Linked DNA regions of Arabidopsis thaliana. The protein of the gene in region 2 interacts with the protein of the main gene of each other region in a pairwise test. Each region holds a gene or a part of one and is shown on either strand. Other genes may lie near its edges.

The links.
Region 1: the proteins of AT3G60910 (region 2) and PSF1 interact in a two-hybrid assay, tested with the Arabidopsis thaliana proteins (one large-scale study listed by BioGRID).

What each region holds. Positions count from the first base shown.
Region 1 is NC_003070.9:30,157,256-30,161,833, reverse strand, and holds PSF1 (partner of SLD five 1), read right to left. Parts: upstream 2,794-4,578; 5' UTR 2,359-2,793; coding exon 2,284-2,358; exon of another isoform or gene 2,035-2,283; coding exon 1,967-2,034; intron 1,875-1,966; coding exon 1,761-1,874; intron 1,678-1,760; coding exon 1,506-1,677; intron 1,405-1,505; coding exon 1,210-1,404; 3' UTR 771-1,209; downstream 1-770. Other genes in the region: AT1G80180 (uncharacterized protein), read left to right, coding at 4,361-4,578.
Region 2 is NC_003074.8:22,499,420-22,503,914, forward strand, and holds AT3G60910 (S-adenosyl-L-methionine-dependent methyltransferases superfamily protein), read left to right. Parts: upstream 1-2,124; 5' UTR 2,125-2,307; coding exon 2,308-2,491; exon of another isoform or gene 2,492-2,609; coding exon 2,610-2,723; intron 2,724-2,822; coding exon 2,823-2,891; exon of another isoform or gene 2,892-2,986; coding exon 2,987-3,006; exon of another isoform or gene 3,007-3,092; coding exon 3,093-3,145; intron 3,146-3,258; coding exon 3,259-3,289; intron 3,290-3,400; coding exon 3,401-3,482; intron 3,483-3,557; coding exon 3,558-3,763; 3' UTR 3,764-3,908; downstream 3,909-4,495. Other genes in the region: FLA10 (FASCICLIN-like arabinogalactan-protein 10), read right to left, coding at 154-1,422; AT3G60920 (beige/BEACH domain protein), read right to left, coding at 3,909-4,130, 4,210-4,269, 4,349-4,408.

The DNA.
Region 1 (4,578 bases), on a different chromosome or scaffold from region 2:
CCAATAATAAAATATTGACGAAGCAGTGGTGGTAACAACTAAGAAGGCAAGAGACTAAGAACACATTTTCTGTATGCAAGTCAAAAAACTAATCCTCAAAAGATGCAAGAATTCCTCCTTTCAGAAACAAGATGAGTAGCAACTCAAATTAATCATAACTATAGAGACATTGTAAATAACATTCACCTATGTTTATGGTTTTGAAAACGCCTAAGGAAAGAGACAATATCAAACTATATGGAAACATCAAAAATCCGTTTATCGTTTACATTAATCAGAGATGTGACAATGATCATCGTTCGAGTAAATGCCTCATCACTATTCAGATCTTACAAGCTAATCTTGAGGTATGTTTTGTAGATGACATATTCTCATTTTTCTGCAGCATTTGTGGCAGATTCTTATCTTTTTAGCTGCAGGTTCACTTCTATAGTGAAAAGCCAGCAAGTAACAAAAAGACTGAGTATTGAAGCCTTGAAAGATTGTCCATTGGAAAAAAGGTAATTTTGAGCTTGTCAAAACTGCATTATTGCTAGTGAATGTTATGCACTACAGAAGTAACTTTGTAAGATAAATAATTGTTACATGAGTTTGAGTATGAGGTTTCTGGTTTCATGTTCCTGTCTTACAATTATACAAGGCTAAGTAAGCTTACATTCTTTGATCACAGACCCGACCGTGATTCATCTGAGCCCACCACAGCTTCTGATTAGATCAATCATCCTGTCAGCTCCTCCATTTGGCCCTGTTATCCCATTCACATCTCAACAATTAGAAACTCTTTATCCAAATGATGGGACACGAGACCCCTTTTAAGCTAGGCAGTAGAATCAGACTGCATTTGCTTAGCAACTCCTTTGGCATACTATGACAAACATCACATGGAAAACCAAAGAATCCAATACACTCACAGTTTATGAAATGTTTCGACCTTATGTAATCTTGACGGTACCAAGAAATGTGACAAAAGTCAATTCTTCAGATTACACTTCACGCATATTCTAAACCTAAAACTTCTATTTGCATCACTATTCAGATCTTTCAGGAATTCTATAGTTTCGTTTTTTCAGTTATAATCTATCTTAAGCAGTCTTCTTTTTTCCTATTAAACCTGCTAGGGAAGGCTGTAATCAAGGTTCTATCTACATCTCTGCGAATTTGAGCAAGGCTCATTCTTTGAATTTCTCAGTTCGTGGAAGTTTATGGGCTTTAGATCATTCTAGTTTTAGGGAAGGAATAACGAAAAAGACTGACCCGAGCAATGTATGGTTCCGCATCAGTACGTTTGAGGAAATGCATAGAATGACGGGCAAAATTTGTTGTTTTGTCACTCAGCACGATTCCTTCATCAATATCATCCAAAATTCTGACCTTGATATAAGGATCTTTAGGAGGGACCATATCCTTCAAGAAATGGATCAAGAGGAGATTACTAGTTACAAGTCCACCAAACAAGAAAAATCCAATTAATTAATAAAAGCCAGGGTGGTGGAAAGAGGACTTACGACATTCAACTCGATTCCTACTTTTCCCATGTATGATTTTAGAGCAACCGAATGGTTTTTGAAGTATTCCTTCTCTAGTGTAGTGAGCTTCTCTTGGATTTCAGAGGGAAGGTCGAGAAGTTCAAGCCCTACTCTCCATGCCAAATCACGCACAATTTCTGCTCGGTTGTACCTGCATAGCGACACCAATTGCAGCTATTTTTAAGAAATTGAGTGTCCAGATATAGTGTTACTGATAGGAAACGTGGTTCTCACACATAAGCCATGAGGCAGCGCTTGTTCCGGATCAAAGCAAGGTGGTGAATTAGTGCTCCATAGTGGTCAGCGTTTCTGTTGTTCTGAACATCCAAACCTTCTTGTTGCATTTTCCTGTAAATGGAAACATCAACCTCAATGAATCAGAAGTAAGTCTTTTGTGATGGATTGAAAAAATGCAACAGTGTAAAAAAGGGGATCAATACCTTATCAAGGACTGGATAAGATGGTGATTCTGGTCACACTCTTCGATTGTTTCATCAAAGAGTTTGCTCTGTTAGAAATACAAGAGGTTAAAGAACTAATCTACCTCATAGCTAACCAAGATAATACTTTCTAATTACAGAATTGGATATTATCAACCCAGGACTGGAAATTTGCTAACATTCCGTCACCTATAATCAAAACCTACTGGCCAAACTTGCAAGATTGATATACGTTAGATTACAGATACTCAAAAATTTCAATAGCCTGTATAAATTGAGAGATTTAGTGTCATAAAGGTGGGAGCTTGAAGTCTTACGTTGAAAGGTTTGAGCTGACCCTTCTCTCCGGTGGCAAAATCTTTGATAAGCTGATACCCTTTTCTCCCGTACATGTCGAATCGGCGGGTCTCCTCGCTTCACTTTGACATCTATCTATTCGAGCAATTCATCAAACATCTGGCGTGCCCAGAAAATTGAAAAAAGTAGGCAAATGCAAATAATTGACTCAAATCCCAGGCTTATGTTTAAACCGAACCTATTCGGTTTGTGGATGAAGCAAATCGTTGCTGATGTCGCCGAATTAACGGATGATAACAAAACCGTAGATCTAAACAAAACGTACCATACTGTTGCGGAGATTTATATGCAATCAAAACAATGTCAATTCTCGCGGCGGCGAAGGATTTCCAGAGATGAAGATGGTGGAATAAATCTATGGATGGCGGCAACACTCAAACTTTTTTAGGGGTTCTGTGAAAATTTTGGCGGGATTTTACAAGGTTTCTCTATTGTTTTTTTTATGTCTTTTCTCAGAACCAAAATATTCCTCTTTCTTTTTTTGGGATTTTACTTTGACTTTGTAACACAGTCAAACCAATGTCATATATACTAAAAAAATTACAAAAATCGATTCTAGACTTGTAACCTTTTGTACTAAACGGATTTTGAATTTGAGTGTCATGACTCATAATATAGTGTGATATATACTACCATAAATCACTTATATTTTTTTAAGTCACTGGTAAATGTCTAACATGTTTTTATACATCTTTCAACATTTGGAAGTTATATGCGTGTACATGTATCCGAATACTACTCCCTAATGTAAGTAAATCTTTTGGGTCTGAGGATAAGGATGATCCATTTGACTGGTACTGATGCGATTGACATTGTGTCACTTTCTTTTATTCTTATTATTTTGTTTTGTTTATATGCACTATATCTTTAGATGGCTAACAATTAACAAAAAAAAAACCCGTTGATCATGTTGGTTTTGCCAAAATAACCATCACCAAAAAAAATTGATAGAAAATATTTGGTGTTCCATCAAATCTACACTTACGGATAAGACGCTCTTATTTTTCCAATTATTTGCTTTCTCTTTCTGACAATCATCAAATTTTTAAAGCTAAATGCCGTTTTCTTCGCATGCTTACGTTTTAGCTGCTTCAATAATCAACTCAAGGACTTCCATAATTGTAGCGAGATTTGAAATGCATGGGTATATTAGATTTGCGATGTAGATTTAATTGGGGATTAATTACGATATGAACACGCAAATTTTGTTGTCCATATGAAAAAAGTAGCACATGAATGGATTGTCTCCACATTACACAAATGGGATGGTCCAGCAAGCCATATAGCAAGATATCTTACAAAATAAAATAATCCACACCTCTCAAAGTTGAGCCATTATATTTCAGGAAATATTAGGTTCGAGTTTTGCGTGATTATTATTTTAAAACTCGATGAATCAGTCATCTACTAATACTTGTAAGTTTCAACTTTGAACTAACCAAATCAAGCATGAACAACGACGAGTCACCAACGCTTGATTTCCTTAAGAAATATTAAAAAAAATTAAGCCATGCTGGATTATGGTTGATAAAACTATATGCTATGCGATGATCTTTGCCTGAAACGTGAAAAGAAAAATAATCATTTTTGGCAGATAATTAAGTGGCTATAGCTAAATTTAATGTTAAAAAAAAAGATAATTGAAATTTCAACACATACCACCCAAAAACGTTGTTTGTACTATTCTACTCCCATAATTACCCGCTGCTTTGACCCAGTTTTTTCTCTCCCGTTTAAAATACGTAACAAATAAAATACAATGATTACGCATCTAAACATGATAATCGCGATTATATTTGGTTGGATAATTCGAGAACCAGAAGAAAAAAAACATATAAAATTGAAATAATAAGACGACAAAAGAAAATTAATTAGAAAAGACACAAGTGCCTTCTAATAAAGAGATAAGAAAGAGGAGGAAGAAATGAACTAGTCTGAAACACAATGATGAACCACTTTTAGCAACACACATCAAAAACGACGAAAACAGAGTAAAAGAAGAAGAAAAAAACGGAGGAGGAACAGTTAGCGCCGTCCATGGCGGGTCTTCAGAGATCCACCATCTCTTTCCGTCGACAGGGCTCTTCGGGTATAGTCTGGGACGATCGTCTCATCGCCGAGCTAAGCCAACAAGCGGCCAACGACCGGAAAGGCGAGACTCTACAACAGGACGAACAGGCCAAGCTGATTACGTCGGAAGTACAGGATCAGACAACCAAACCTATCGCCGGAGAAGGACTCAAACCTATCAGAAC
Region 2 (4,495 bases):
ACAAAACAATAACAATCATCCAATTCTAAATTAACTAATAAGATTAAACGTAAACCGTAACACTCTAATTCCCAGTTTTTAACAAACAGCATCACAAAGAAATAAAAACTCGTCGAAGGAAGACAATGGCAGTCTTCGTAATTAAGGTTTTGTTTATAACAAGAGAGATGTGGCGGCAATAGTGACCAATGCGGTGAACAACGCAGGAGCGTTAACGTGAAACGCCGCGTTTTTCGCATTACTGTTCTCTGAACTTGTCGGCGAGTCTGACGGAGCTCCTTCCGGTGAAGATTCATCCACCGGTGGTGCTGGCGGAGAAGCTGCGGTTGGAGAAGGTGCTTCCACAGGAGACGGTGACTTAGCCGGGGTCGGTGTCGGTGCACTCACTGGCTCCGGTGCCGGCGCCGGCGATGAAGATTTTCCGAAAAGCTCAGCGGGAAGGAGCACATTATCCACAGTGAATATAACAACAGGTGTCTCATCGACCACCGTGTCGGCGAGTCTCGACGGACCAACGCCGGTATGGAGAATAACCTCGTCACCGGAAGTTGACGTCGTTAAATCGTATTTACCGGCGCCGTTAGTGGCTAAAGTGGAGATAGCGTCTTTGTTAGTCTTTAACGATCCTTTGGGTTTGTATTCAGCGAGGGCGTGATACTCTAGGAGCGAGACCACCTCAGCTTGTGTGAGATTCGTCAGATCTGGTACACCTCTAGCTTTAAAAGCTTCATCGGACGGTGCAAAAACCGTCAAGCCTTTTTCAACGGTGGATTCGAATGTTTTAATAACACCGCTCGATACGAGCAAATTCGCGAAGGTTTTGCAACCGGCTTTCTCGAGAAGTCCGGTGATGTTGCTAACTCCGGCGGAAGAAGGAGCAGGTGCGGTTAAGATTCCGGGAGCGATGATCGGAGCGTTGATTTCGAGAACGGAGATGTTGTAAGGGATTTGTTTAACGGATTTGGTGTAAGAGGAATCGAGCTTGGAGCCAGGAGCGGCGGAGCCAAAGCCGACTTTGCCTCCTTTGAGATCGGTGACGTTAACGAATCCTAGGTTCCCGAGAGCGTGTCCGGTGGTTTGGTAAAGCGTGGTGGTGAGAGTTGTGCCTTTAGAGAGCTGATGGAGTTTTAAAGGATCGTAGTAGTCGAGGAGGACGAGGAGGCTGAGAGCATTTTTGACGACGGAGAGTGGGTGTTTTCCGGCGAGGGAAGACATTGCGCCATTGTTGAGAACAAGGACGGTGATTGTAGTGCGGCTGTTGATTTCGTCGGCGAGTTTTGTTTGAGAAAGGTAGTTGTTGAATGAGGAATATTCCGGCGTATCAGAGAGGATTTGAGTAATGTTATGGCCGGAGACGGTAGAAGCTACGGTGAGGAGAGATAATGTGAAAGCGAAGAGAGTGAAAGCTCGTGATGTCGCCATTGGAATTTGGAAGGTTGAGTTGAACTGTGGAGAAGAGAAAGTGAGAAGACAAAGAGAGTGATGAAGTTAATAAGAAGAAGAAGAGGTTAAATGTTAACCATGGTTATATTGAAGAGTTAACTATGGTTAATTTGAGAACACGTGCTGCTTCCTTTTGCTAAAAAGCCTGTAATCACGAAAATGGGTGGGCTTTGAGCTTCTTTCTTTATGGTTCGTCCTCTTCCAAAAGCAACCGAACCGAACCGTTATATCATTATCAATTTATCATCCTTGTTAGAGTTAACCATGGTCAAGTAGCTAACTAAAATTTGAGCTTATTTATGGATGCTCATTAGATAATCATCCAAAATTTTGTAAAAGGCACTCAGATAAAAAGGATTTAGATATTTTTACTTGACAACTAGTAATATCGTTAGTACTTAGTAGACTCATAAATAAGTGTCGTTATCAGTTTTAAATACTTGGTCAATAGTTGGTAACATCTTTTAGAAATGGAAAGAAGGTTCTAATTGCCCGACACAGCACTGATAAAGAAATTATTATTTTTTATAAAAACGACAAATCAAAATACGTAGTTTACTACTGTCATGTAAAAATCTGCAAAAGTTTTATCATTTGATTAGAAAAAAATAAAATAAACCTTCACAAATCAGTAAACTATTACTCCGTATTAATTAATGGGCGGAGATGAGGCTTTAATTCCTTACTTTGAGCCCAATTATGAGGCTAATAACAATGTGTGAGCACGTGTCACTCTTCAGCTTCACATGATTATGTATTGGGCCTGTAATAAGCCCAAACTTCGTAAGCTGGTCAAAAACAACGACGAAGAGAAAAAGCTCCGCCGCAGAATCTGAGATCGGATCTTTAGAGAGAGAGAGAAAGATGCAGAGGGACGTGTCGAGCTGCAACACTTACAACTATGGAGACGCTCTCTATTGGGACGCTCGTTACGTGCAAGACGCGCTTTCTTTCGACTGGTACCAATGTTACTCTTCTCTCCGCCCTTTTGTCCGCAGCTTCGTCTCTACTTCTTCACGAGTCCTCATGGTTGGCTGTGGCAACTCCCGTAATTCTCTCTCCTTTTGCCAATAGATTTGAAGAAGTCTGTACCAGTGATTGAATTTGACTTGAGCAGCAACCAAATTTAATACACTGTGATTGCCCTGTTCTTCTCTTTGGTGTAGTGATGTCAGAGGATATGGTGAAGGATGGGTATGAGGACATCATGAATGTTGATATCTCTTCAGTGGCTATTGAGATGATGCAAACCAAATATGCATCTGTTCCTCAGCTCAAATGTAACACTTCTTTTCACATCTCTAGTTTATATTACTTTAGCTTTAGAAATATGTAAAGTAAGAAGCTTTATCCTATTATACTCTGTTTTTACCCAACAGATATGCAAATGGATGTTAGAGATATGAGTTACTTTGAAGACGATTCCTTTGACACTATTATTGATAAAGGTATGTTGTAGCAACCACCAATTACTCTGTTTTTATGGTGAAAAGCTTAGAAGTGATATATTGTTACCTGTTGTTGCGGCTGCTGGATTGTGTAGGAACCCTTGATTCATTGATGGTACGGAACCTGATCTTTTGTTTCTCGTGTTCATGTCTACATGTGTTTTTAAGTTTTCTTGTTTTGTGTGATACGGTGGGTTCCAGTGTGGCAGTGATGCTCTTCTAAGTGCTTCGAGAATGTTGGGTGAAGTTAGCAGGTCACTAATATCATCATGGCTGCTCCTGGATCATCTCATATAGATGCCAGTTTTTGGATTCTTTTTTAATATATATATTCTCAATAAAACTCTTCTCTTTTTTCATATTGCAGGCTGATTAAACCTGGAGGGACCTACTTTTTGGTAACAAACATACTTTCTCTTGCATTCTATGTCTGTAACTGTTCATAGTCATTGTCACTGGTACTAGAAGGATATATAAGATATTTTGTGTTTGTTGTGGTGGTTTGGTAGATAACCTACGGTGATCCGAAAGTGAGAATGCCTCATTTGACTCGTTCTGCGTACAACTGGAAGATCTCCTTATACATTATACGTAAGCTTCCATGTTTTGCAACAAATTTTCTTTTGAAATTGTATTCTTAGCTTCATTCCTTCCGTGTTCTTGCAGCAAGACCAGGATTTAAAAGGCCAGAAAGTTGCAGCTCGTCAGCAAAGTCTTGTATGGAAGCTATACCTATAACAAGTGAGGGAATGCTGCCACATGATTATGTTCTGGAGGATCCTGATTCCCATTTTATTTACATATGCAAGAAGAAGGATGAAGATGAAGAAGCTCAACTACCCTCATACCCATTAATGGAGGATGTTTTGTAGTGATGGCACGCAGAGGCTCAAACAATGCAAAATTGTGCATGTGTGTTTGTCTTTTTGATCCCCATTTAGACCAGTCGATCTATTGTTGTATTTTATGTGTCTTGTGATCTTATCCCAATTGATAGGTCCGAGTCTCAGAATTGCTCTATAAACTCATAATATACGAATAAACATCAACCTTTATTATCTCAGCCTTGGACAACAATTTAGGCTTTGTAGATGACTTTTGAGCTGCATTATCTTTCGATGAAGTTAGTGATCGTTTTGACGTCGGGGTCAATTTAGTGATCTTTGAAGTGTTCTTAGAAGTCTTGATAGACGAGTTGCTGTTTTCATAGTTAGCCGCCTCGGAAGATTCAGTGTCAATCTAAACAAAAATAAAATTCAAAATTTTAAAATACATAAGCACTTGAAAATTAAATGTAATGGAACGTTAGAGTTATTACCTGATTTGTAGTTGCATTTGAAGGGGTAGAGACAATGTTCATGTCTGAATCAGGTTCAGTCTAAAAAAGATATCACCAAAATAATTACTTATCCCTAAATGAAATTTGTTGTCTATCTAATGCTTATTCAGTAGCAAACCTCGCTGGTAGTTGGGTTTGAAAAGCTTGAGACCATGTGAGTGTTTGGATCAGTTGTGTTCTGTAAATAAAAAAAATCACATTAATGTTGATACCATGAAAAACGAATGTAACTAAAACGCCAAAGACAAACTGAATTTACCATTTG